2 linked regions of the Mus musculus genome follow. The protein of the gene in region 2 interacts with the protein of the main gene of each other region in a biochemical or structural test. Links are inferred from orthologs where the notes say so. Each region holds a gene or a part of one and is shown on either strand. Other genes may lie near its edges.

Region 1 (3,808 bases), on a different chromosome or scaffold from region 2:
CAGCTTATCGTGCCTCAAGGACTCTTCAGATAGTCCACAAAGTAAATTCAGCCTCAATCCAGAGACCTGGAAGAACGGTTTCTGGTTTTGGTTTTGGTTTTGGTTTTGGTTGTTTGTTTGTTTGTTTGTTTGTTTCCACTTATGTATATATTCTATACTGTTGTTTGATTCTAACTTTAAGCCAACTTGGCTAAATGAAAATTCAGAGGATAAGAAAAAAAAAATATCCCTAGCCAATGACAACTGCAAGGGATAAAACTGTCAACTAGTGATGAGTGACACCTTTGGAGAGAACACAGCTGTGGGTGGGCAGAGTGGAGTGGCAGGTGTCAGAGCTAGAAAGGATGACACTGGCATTCTTCATCTAACTTTGAGCTGTGAAACATTCCTGTAACTAAGCAAAAGGATTCCCTTGGCTTAGGACTATGTGTAACCAGGGTAGAATAACCCTCACTTGTACCACTTCCTGGCTTAGCTATAAGCTTCCTGAAGATTTCAGCAACTTTTTGCCAAATCCCTTAAAATGTAATTTCAAAAAAACATATGGAATGCTAGTGATGATGAAAACTTATTTTAATGGATGGTCACACGTGTAAGGTCATCTCATAGCTCTCTATACGTGCCCAAAGAAAAACGTACCTGGACCTCCTTACAGTTCCCACATTGTACTGTATCCATGACAACCATCAACTCCCCAGAATTTCTCTCAGAGCCTTGAGGAGCTCTTTCTTACCTAGGCACTGCCCTTCCAGAAGCCAGTACCCATCGGTGCAGGAGCAGGTGTAACCTCCTTCAGTGTTGATACAGATCTGGGTAGGGTTGCACTGGTGTGAGTCTGTTGCACACTCGTCCACATCTGTAACACAAAAATGATTCCAGAGAATGCCTCCCATGTCTAAGAACCCTGGAGCCACCAGAAGTGCAAGCTGTGCCTGAGTCTCAGCTGGGAGGCTGCTGATAAAATCACTGGGTCACACCAAGAGCAGAGTATTTTCCTGATAGGCACTTCTGAGACACACTGGCCTCTAGAGTGGCTTTTGCTCAAAGAACTACACATAGGGGAGGAAACACAGCCGTTTGCACTATTCCTCAGCCTTTATCCTTCTTGACCTTTGTCAACCTTCTCTGGACATGCAGTACACCGACGACTCCTTCTTTCAATCTGGGTCTCTCCTGCCTACCCTTCCTCTTTCAAGATGGCAGCTGGATTTGCTCATTGACAGCTTCTCTCCACCTCTGCCAAAATGGACCAGCAGCAAGTCAGAAAAGTACCATTGAAAGCTGCCATTCAAATGGGAACAAAACACCCATGGAAGGAGTTACAGAGACAAAATTTGGAGCTGTGACGAAAGGATGGACCATCTAATGATTGACATATGCAGGGATCCATCCCATAATCAGCTTCCAAATGCTGACACCATTGCATACACTAGCAAGATTTTGCTGAAAGGACCCAGATATAGCTCTCTCTTGTGAGACTATGCCGGGGCCTAGCAAACACAGAAGTGGATGATCACAGTCAGCTATTGGATGGGTCACACGGTCCCCAATGGAGGAGCTAGAGAAATTACCCAAGAAGCTAAAGGGAACTGCAACCCTATAGGTGGAACAACAATATGAACTAACCAGTACCCGGGAGCTCTTGTCTTTAGCTGCATATGTATCAAAAAATGGCCTAGTGGGCCATCACTGCAAAGAGAGGCCCATTGGACTTGCAAACTTTATATGCCCCAGTACAAGGGAACGCCAGGGCCAAAAAGGGGGAGTGGGTGGGTAGGGTATTGGGGGGTGGGTATGGGGGACCTTTGGGATAGCATTGAAAATGTAAATGAGGAAAATACCTAATAAAAAAATAAAAATAAATAAAAAAAAGAAAGCTGCCATTCACTGTGTGGTTTGCTGAACCCCACATTTATCCTCACAGGACTCCGTGAGCCCACTTTGCAGCTGGGCAAATGGAGCTGAGGAAACGGTAAACACAGAGGTACAAGCTCAGCCCATGCCTCCTCCTCTTGCCTGACTCAAGTCTCCTATGTGTGGAGATAACAGAGGACACAGCTGGGACCAAGCAGATGCAGGCGGGGCTACCCAAGGGAAGCGAGCTATTACTGACTTCTCTACAACCCACTTTGCATATCTGCCTGTTGATGCTACAAATTGCAGACTCTCTCCCCATCCACTCAAAAGGTATCTGTGGGCTGAGGACACAGTATACCTGCCTGATGTGCCTGAGGTCCTGAATTCAACCACAGATAACATGTTTGCATGTGTGGAGTGGAGCTAGGAGGCTCCAGGACCCTAAAGTGTGAGCTCCTTGAGACGAGCTTTTACATCAATTAGCACTCGTTTTATCGTGCTGTGTGCTCAGGAAGCCAGCATAGCTGAACGTACTATTCAACCAGGTAAGCAGCAGTATCCTCAGGTTAAGTGACAACCCACTATCCACAACAAGCCAACACTAAGAAAACTGATGAATCCCTGATAGACTCCAAAGTAACAAGGTGACTGGTTTCCATGGGGAGCCAGTCGTCACTGCTCTGGACATGAATCTCCCCAAGAGTCTTGGTTCGAGGCAGAAGCACCTTCATTCCACCCTGACAAACTCCTGCCCCTGCTCTTTGCCTCCCCCTTCTACCTCAGCTCAGCCCATACAGCCCAGCCTCCCTGGGGAACCAGGAAGTAATGCTTGGCCAGTGGCCACTCCTGTCCCAACCTACTTCCAAGCTTATGACAATAAATAACGCCACCATCAGCCAGGACATATTTACATTTTCCCAGCAGAGAGTGATGGATGGAGGTTATACCCTGGGAACAACTTTGGGAGTCTCTGTTCTTGTCTCTGACCTGAGGAGAATGGTGAGTGAATGTGACCAGGAGGAGGTGAGGAGGAGCTATTGGAAAGCCATGGTGACAAGTACCCAAGCCTCTGCCTTTGTGTGACATGTAACATAAACAACATGCCTACAGAAAAGTCCTGCAGAAACCAAGCACAGCACACTCGTCTCAGGAGGACACATAGGACTTCAACATGGGTTTATTGCACACACACACACATACAGCATTCAAGCCTGGAAACAAAACCTTTCAAGTTTGTCTTTTTTCAAAACTCTACTGCTTTTTACCATACTAAAGACTGTACTCTGTTATTTTATATATAGATATATAATTGAAAATGTAGGGCCAACAAGATGGGTCAGTTAATAAAAGAAAGAAAGGCACCTGCCATCCCTAACAACCTGAATTCAATTCCTGGAATTGATATGATGGACAGAGAGAACTGACTCACACAGTTTGTACTCTGAGCTCCATGCCATAGCATGACTACCTATACATACATACATACACACACACACACACACACACACACACACACACACACACACACAAGTGCATATGCACATATACAGACACATGCATACACATGTAAACACACACATACATGCCTGCATGAACTTAAACACACACATTTAATTAATGAATTTAAATTTTTAGATTTAATTTTCACTTAATTCAATTAACTTTTACTATATATTTTAAATGGACTTGTCTACATAATATCTGTTTTGAGAACCCAGTGGATCCATAGATCCCTGGAACATGAGGACTGTTAAATCCCAGCCAGGCTTCCTCAGCCAACTAACTGACAGGATTTTGGAATGTGGAATTTTAAAGTGGCCATCACCCTGCAAAGCACTGTCAGCTTACACACCTGCTGGAGGAGCCCAAACTGAAAACGTTCAGTCTGCGTTTCCACAAGGGGGTGAACGAGGCTGTGCAGATTCCAGCTCAGAGCTGAACTGCTTACATT
Region 2 (4,443 bases):
CTCCAACACCCTTGAGTCCCAAAGGCTCCTTTTCACCCGACAGCCCTGGTATAGCAACCCTGGTATGGAGAAGGCAATTGCAGACAGGGCGCTGCCCCAGGGTGCACTGCGTGTGCATTGAGAACTCGGTGGAAAGCTTGACATACAGGCAGCCCTGTATGGAGAGCATCAGCAAGGGGATTCTAGGACAGCTGCGGACGGGCTGATGGCCATCCAGCACTGGCCAGACGCAACAGTTGGCCCCTGTCACAGTAACAGCACATGTGGAAGCTGCCCATCTGGCAGAGGAAGACTACTCCACCCTGACCCTTGTGTGCAGATGACATGGCCTTCCCAAGGATAGGTCATATCTTCATCCCTGGGGAGAGCCAGAGGGTGGCCTGTCTTCAGACATTTCCTGGGACTCTCCCTCAGAGCCAAGACGAGAGTGAGGTCGTGGAGCACGAGCCTGGGTTATGTTTTACAGAACATCATGAAGTACGGTGCCCTAGAGAAGTAATATTTAATGTGATGTGTTTAAAAACAAAATCAATACAAAAAATCTGCAATGAACAAATATCCCATTTCAAATAAAAAAAGGACCCATTATTGATTTTTCAGTTTGCCCCAGGTTATGGAAACATTATTGAGTCTGTTTAAAATTTGGACATATTTGTTCATAAGAGATTTTTTTTAATGCACTGAAATAGTACTAATCTTCATTACTGTGGTTTCTTTAGTGCTCAGTTGAATTTTATGCCCTGGCCAGTGGGCTCTGGCATCCCCAGCCGTGTTGGGATCACCTCAGGGGTCTGAAAATTTTGTCTGTTCTAGTGCAGCTCTTTGGCTGTTTACTCACCTCACTAAGGGCACAAGGACACTGCAGCATCTCTAGAAGCATTTTTTTTTTTTTTTTGGTTTTTCGAGACAGGGTTTCTCTGTATAGCCCTGGCTGTCCTGGAACTCAGTTTGTAGATCAGGCTGGCCTCGAACTCAGAAATCCACCTGCCTCTGCCTCCCGAGTGCTGGGATTAAAGGCGTGCGCCACCACGCCCGGCTCTAGAAGCATTCTTAAGGCCTCTTGACCCTGAAGGTCCAAGACTCCCATGATCCTTTGCCTCACTTTGTGCACAGGCATAGGGGAAATTTCTAAAAGTGTTAAGAGATTCCCTGGGAGAGGGAGAAGCAAGGGAGCAAGACTTTCCCCACTCGTCCCTAGATGACCCCAGCTAGATCTGCAAAGTACTTAAAACTTGGCTAGTCCTTCCACTATTCTCCCCAAGCCAGAGTCAAAACACAGGCCTACCAGATAGGCCTTTGACCCAGATGGATAATAGTTGGATTCAGGAGGAGAGGCACGCAGGGGCTGCATGGTCCTTGTTAAGCCACCACTGGAAGGCCTTTGATAAGAAACAAACAGGGTCCGCACCAGCAATTCACCAGTGGCCAAAATGTCGAGCCAAGGCGCTCGTGGATTGTACTCACCGCGACCATTCTGGTTGGGTCGGTACACACTACCCACGCTGAGACGGCCCTGCTGGGCGCCGTTCCGCTCCCCACCCTGGGAGGGCGCATCAGAGCTTCGCACGGGCAAGTAAGGTGGCTCCAGCACGCGGAATGGGGGCTGTGGCTCCACCGCACGCGGAGGGACGTAGGCCTCCGGTGGCACATTGGCTGCATAGGGCGGGTACCAGCCGAGGCGAGGATCGCCAGCGCCACCGTAGGTGCCACCGGCCCCCGCGGGGGCCTGCGACACGTCGGTGCTGGGATCAGGGTAGGCCTGCTCGAATCCCGGGGTGCCTTCATTGTACAGGCTGTGCGAGTAACGACGGTCAAGGCCGTCGGAAGGTTGGGGCTGAGGCTGCGGCTGGGGCTGGGGCTGGGGTTGGGGCTGGGGCACATAGGGCCTCTCTGGGGCTGGGTAAAAGCCCTGGGCCGGGTACTCGGGCTGCTCCTCGCCTCCTCCACCTCCGTAGTCCTCGTAACGCGCCCGGGGCTGGAAGGGATAGATGACCCCAGCCGAGGCTACAGCCGCTGCCCCCGCGCCCATGCCGCCGCCCGCACCACGGTAGTACACGTAGCCCTGTTCGTAGGTCCGTGACGCGGGATCGTAGTTCTCATACTGGTTTACGAAGGGCGCCTGCGGATAGGGGAACTGCTGCGGGTAGGAGGATGGCTGGCGATAGGTGGTGGCGAAGGCCGAGGCCGAAACCGAGGAGGAGGCGGAGCCCCCGTGCCGTTGCTGGGAGACGGAGGTGCGGGCCCGAGCCATGCCGGTACTGTCCCCGACGGCCACCTCTCTCCAGTTGTCGGGCACCTGGCCGAAGCCGAACGGGTGCCGCGTTTGGCCGCGCACAGTGTCCGAACCCACGCGTCCGGGCAGGGGCAGGGACGGCGCCTGCCGACGCCGGGGTCCCCCCTGACTGCGCCGCTGCGACGTTTGGGGCGCGCCTGCCAGTAGAACCCTGGAGCTAGTCTCCCCTCGTTGGGGCCCCGCGGGCACGTACTCAGAGCCCGAGTTGAGCAAGCTGTACACCTGCCCGTTGTTCTCCCACTGGATCAGCTGCCGCCAGCGTCCTGGGTCCGAGCCCTGTCCTGGCTGCGCTTGCTGCCCGTGCACCAGGACGCACAGGCAGGCACTCCACACCAGGGTCCTCAGCTGGCTGCCGGCTCCGGCCAGAGCCATAGTGGCCCTTCTGCAGAGGCCGGGTGGGCAGAGAGTGGGCCTCGGTGCGTGCTTCTCTTCCCACGGCCTCGAGGACAGGATGGCTCTTCGCCTGCCCAAGCTCTAGCTTTGTCCATCCTGGCCTTGTCCCGAGCGGGACGGCTCCTCCGATGACAGCATTTCGAGGCCAAGGGGTCAGGGCAGGGCAGGGGCGGTGCCCAGGGCTGCACGAGGCTTTCCGTAGGGCACGGGACGGGCAGGACCTCCTGGGGCCCTTACATGGCCAGCCCCACACTGGCTGGCTGCTCGCTAGGCTGGCGCTTTCCCACTCTGAATGAATAAGCAACAGGCTGAAAGTGTCTGGAGGTTTCAGAAACCTGGTCCGCCTGCTGGGGCCTCCTCCGCGGGGCCCTACGGCCCGCCGGGTTTTAGCTATGTGGCCTGTCCCACAGATCAGTGCTCCCTTAGTCCTGTAGCTTCCAGCCAAGCCACAGACCTGCCTGGGAGGAAGGGAATGAGGTAGGGCGGAGGAGGGGGCCCCTGGGGACTCAGGCCTGGTAAGTGGGGTTTCTGGCAAACATAGCAGGATTAAGATGTGGGCACTACCCTGCTGGTTCCACTCAGTCCTGGACACAGGTTTTTTTTTTTTTTAATTCCACTTTCTTCGTTGACTTCACCTCTTCCTAGGGTTCTTGGGGTGCCTTCTCCCTTCTCCAAAGCTAGTGCTAAGAGACATCCTGGTTGGTGAGACTCCCTGGGGAGATGCCCACCTCTGGCTGGGGCCACCCTGTAATTCTGCATCCTGAAGACATTGGGCGTTTGGTCCTGAGTACAAAGACACTGAACCTTCAGCTCTTCTACCAGGTCTCAGTCTACAGGCTTGGGAACTAGGATAGGTATGTCTCTCTGCTGAAGGGGACTTGGGAGCTCAGGGCAGATGCTGACATCACGTACCCCCCACCCCCTCCAGTGGCTTCTGCCCTGTGCTTCCTGAGTTGATAGCCAGAAATAATCGGAGTCTAAACATGAATAAGAAGAACCCAGCCGGTGGCAGCCTTGGATATGAGATATGCCATTGTGAGGCAAGGGGAACCTTTAACATAAAGCAGAGAGAGGGAGGCCTTGGGAGAGCCGTGGCCTGGGAATCGCATGCTCCTTCCCAACTCTGAGTTAGTGGACACATTGATCACTGGGGGATTATTCCACAGAACTCCATCTGTTCTGGCCGATTCTCTGTTCCCTCCGGGGATGTCAGGGCTAAGAAGAAAGGTAAATTTTAACTTTTACTTGGTACCTAAGAGGTTACCCTCTAAATGCTGTTCTCCAGGCTTCCCCTAGGCTGTCTTCTGTTTGGCCTTGGGAGCTGGAGGGCAAAGATTACCCCCTGAGACTTATAAACAAGACAGGAAGGATCTGTCCTCAATGCTGGATGACTCTGTTTTGTAAACTCCTGGGCCCCGTTTAAGGAGGAAACAGCCAGAATGATGCTCTTTGGGAACCAGGACCCCTCTGCCCTCCATCCTTACCAGGAAGCATCTATCAACCCACCAAACTGTGGGTTTCAGGACTGATACTTCACATATGTGTCTTGGGACACTGGATATCTTCCCCCCCCCCCCCCCCGAGACAGGGTTTCTCTGTAGCCCTGGCTGTCCTGGAACTCACTTTGTAGACCAGGCTGGCCTTGAACTCAGAAATCCACCTGCCTCTGCCTCCCAAGTGCTAGGATTAAAGGCATGCGCCACCACACCTGGCTGACACTAGATATCTTAATCTAGCCAGAAAATTGGGGGCTTGCA

Evidence for each region.
Region 1: the proteins of Loxl1 (region 2) and Fbln5 form a complex in vitro, tested with the Homo sapiens proteins (2 studies listed by BioGRID and IntAct). The link is inferred for Mus musculus from reciprocal best matches to the Homo sapiens genes LOXL1 and FBLN5.

Annotation. Positions count from the first base shown.
Region 1 is NC_000078.6:101,770,512-101,774,319, forward strand, and holds part of Fbln5 (fibulin-5 isoform 2 precursor), read right to left. Parts: intron 857-3,808; coding exon 734-856; intron 1-733. UniProt on the Homo sapiens protein: Essential for elastic fiber formation, is involved in the assembly of continuous elastin (ELN) polymer and promotes the interaction of microfibrils and ELN. Stabilizes and organizes elastic fibers in the skin, lung and vasculature.
Region 2 is NC_000075.6:58,310,222-58,314,664, forward strand, and holds the start of Loxl1 (lysyl oxidase homolog 1 preproprotein), read right to left. Parts: upstream 2,992-4,443; 5' UTR 2,666-2,991; coding exon 1,465-2,665; intron 1-1,464. UniProt on the Homo sapiens protein: Catalyzes the oxidative deamination of lysine and hydroxylysine residues in collagen and elastin, resulting in the formation of covalent cross-linkages, and the stabilization of collagen and elastin fibers.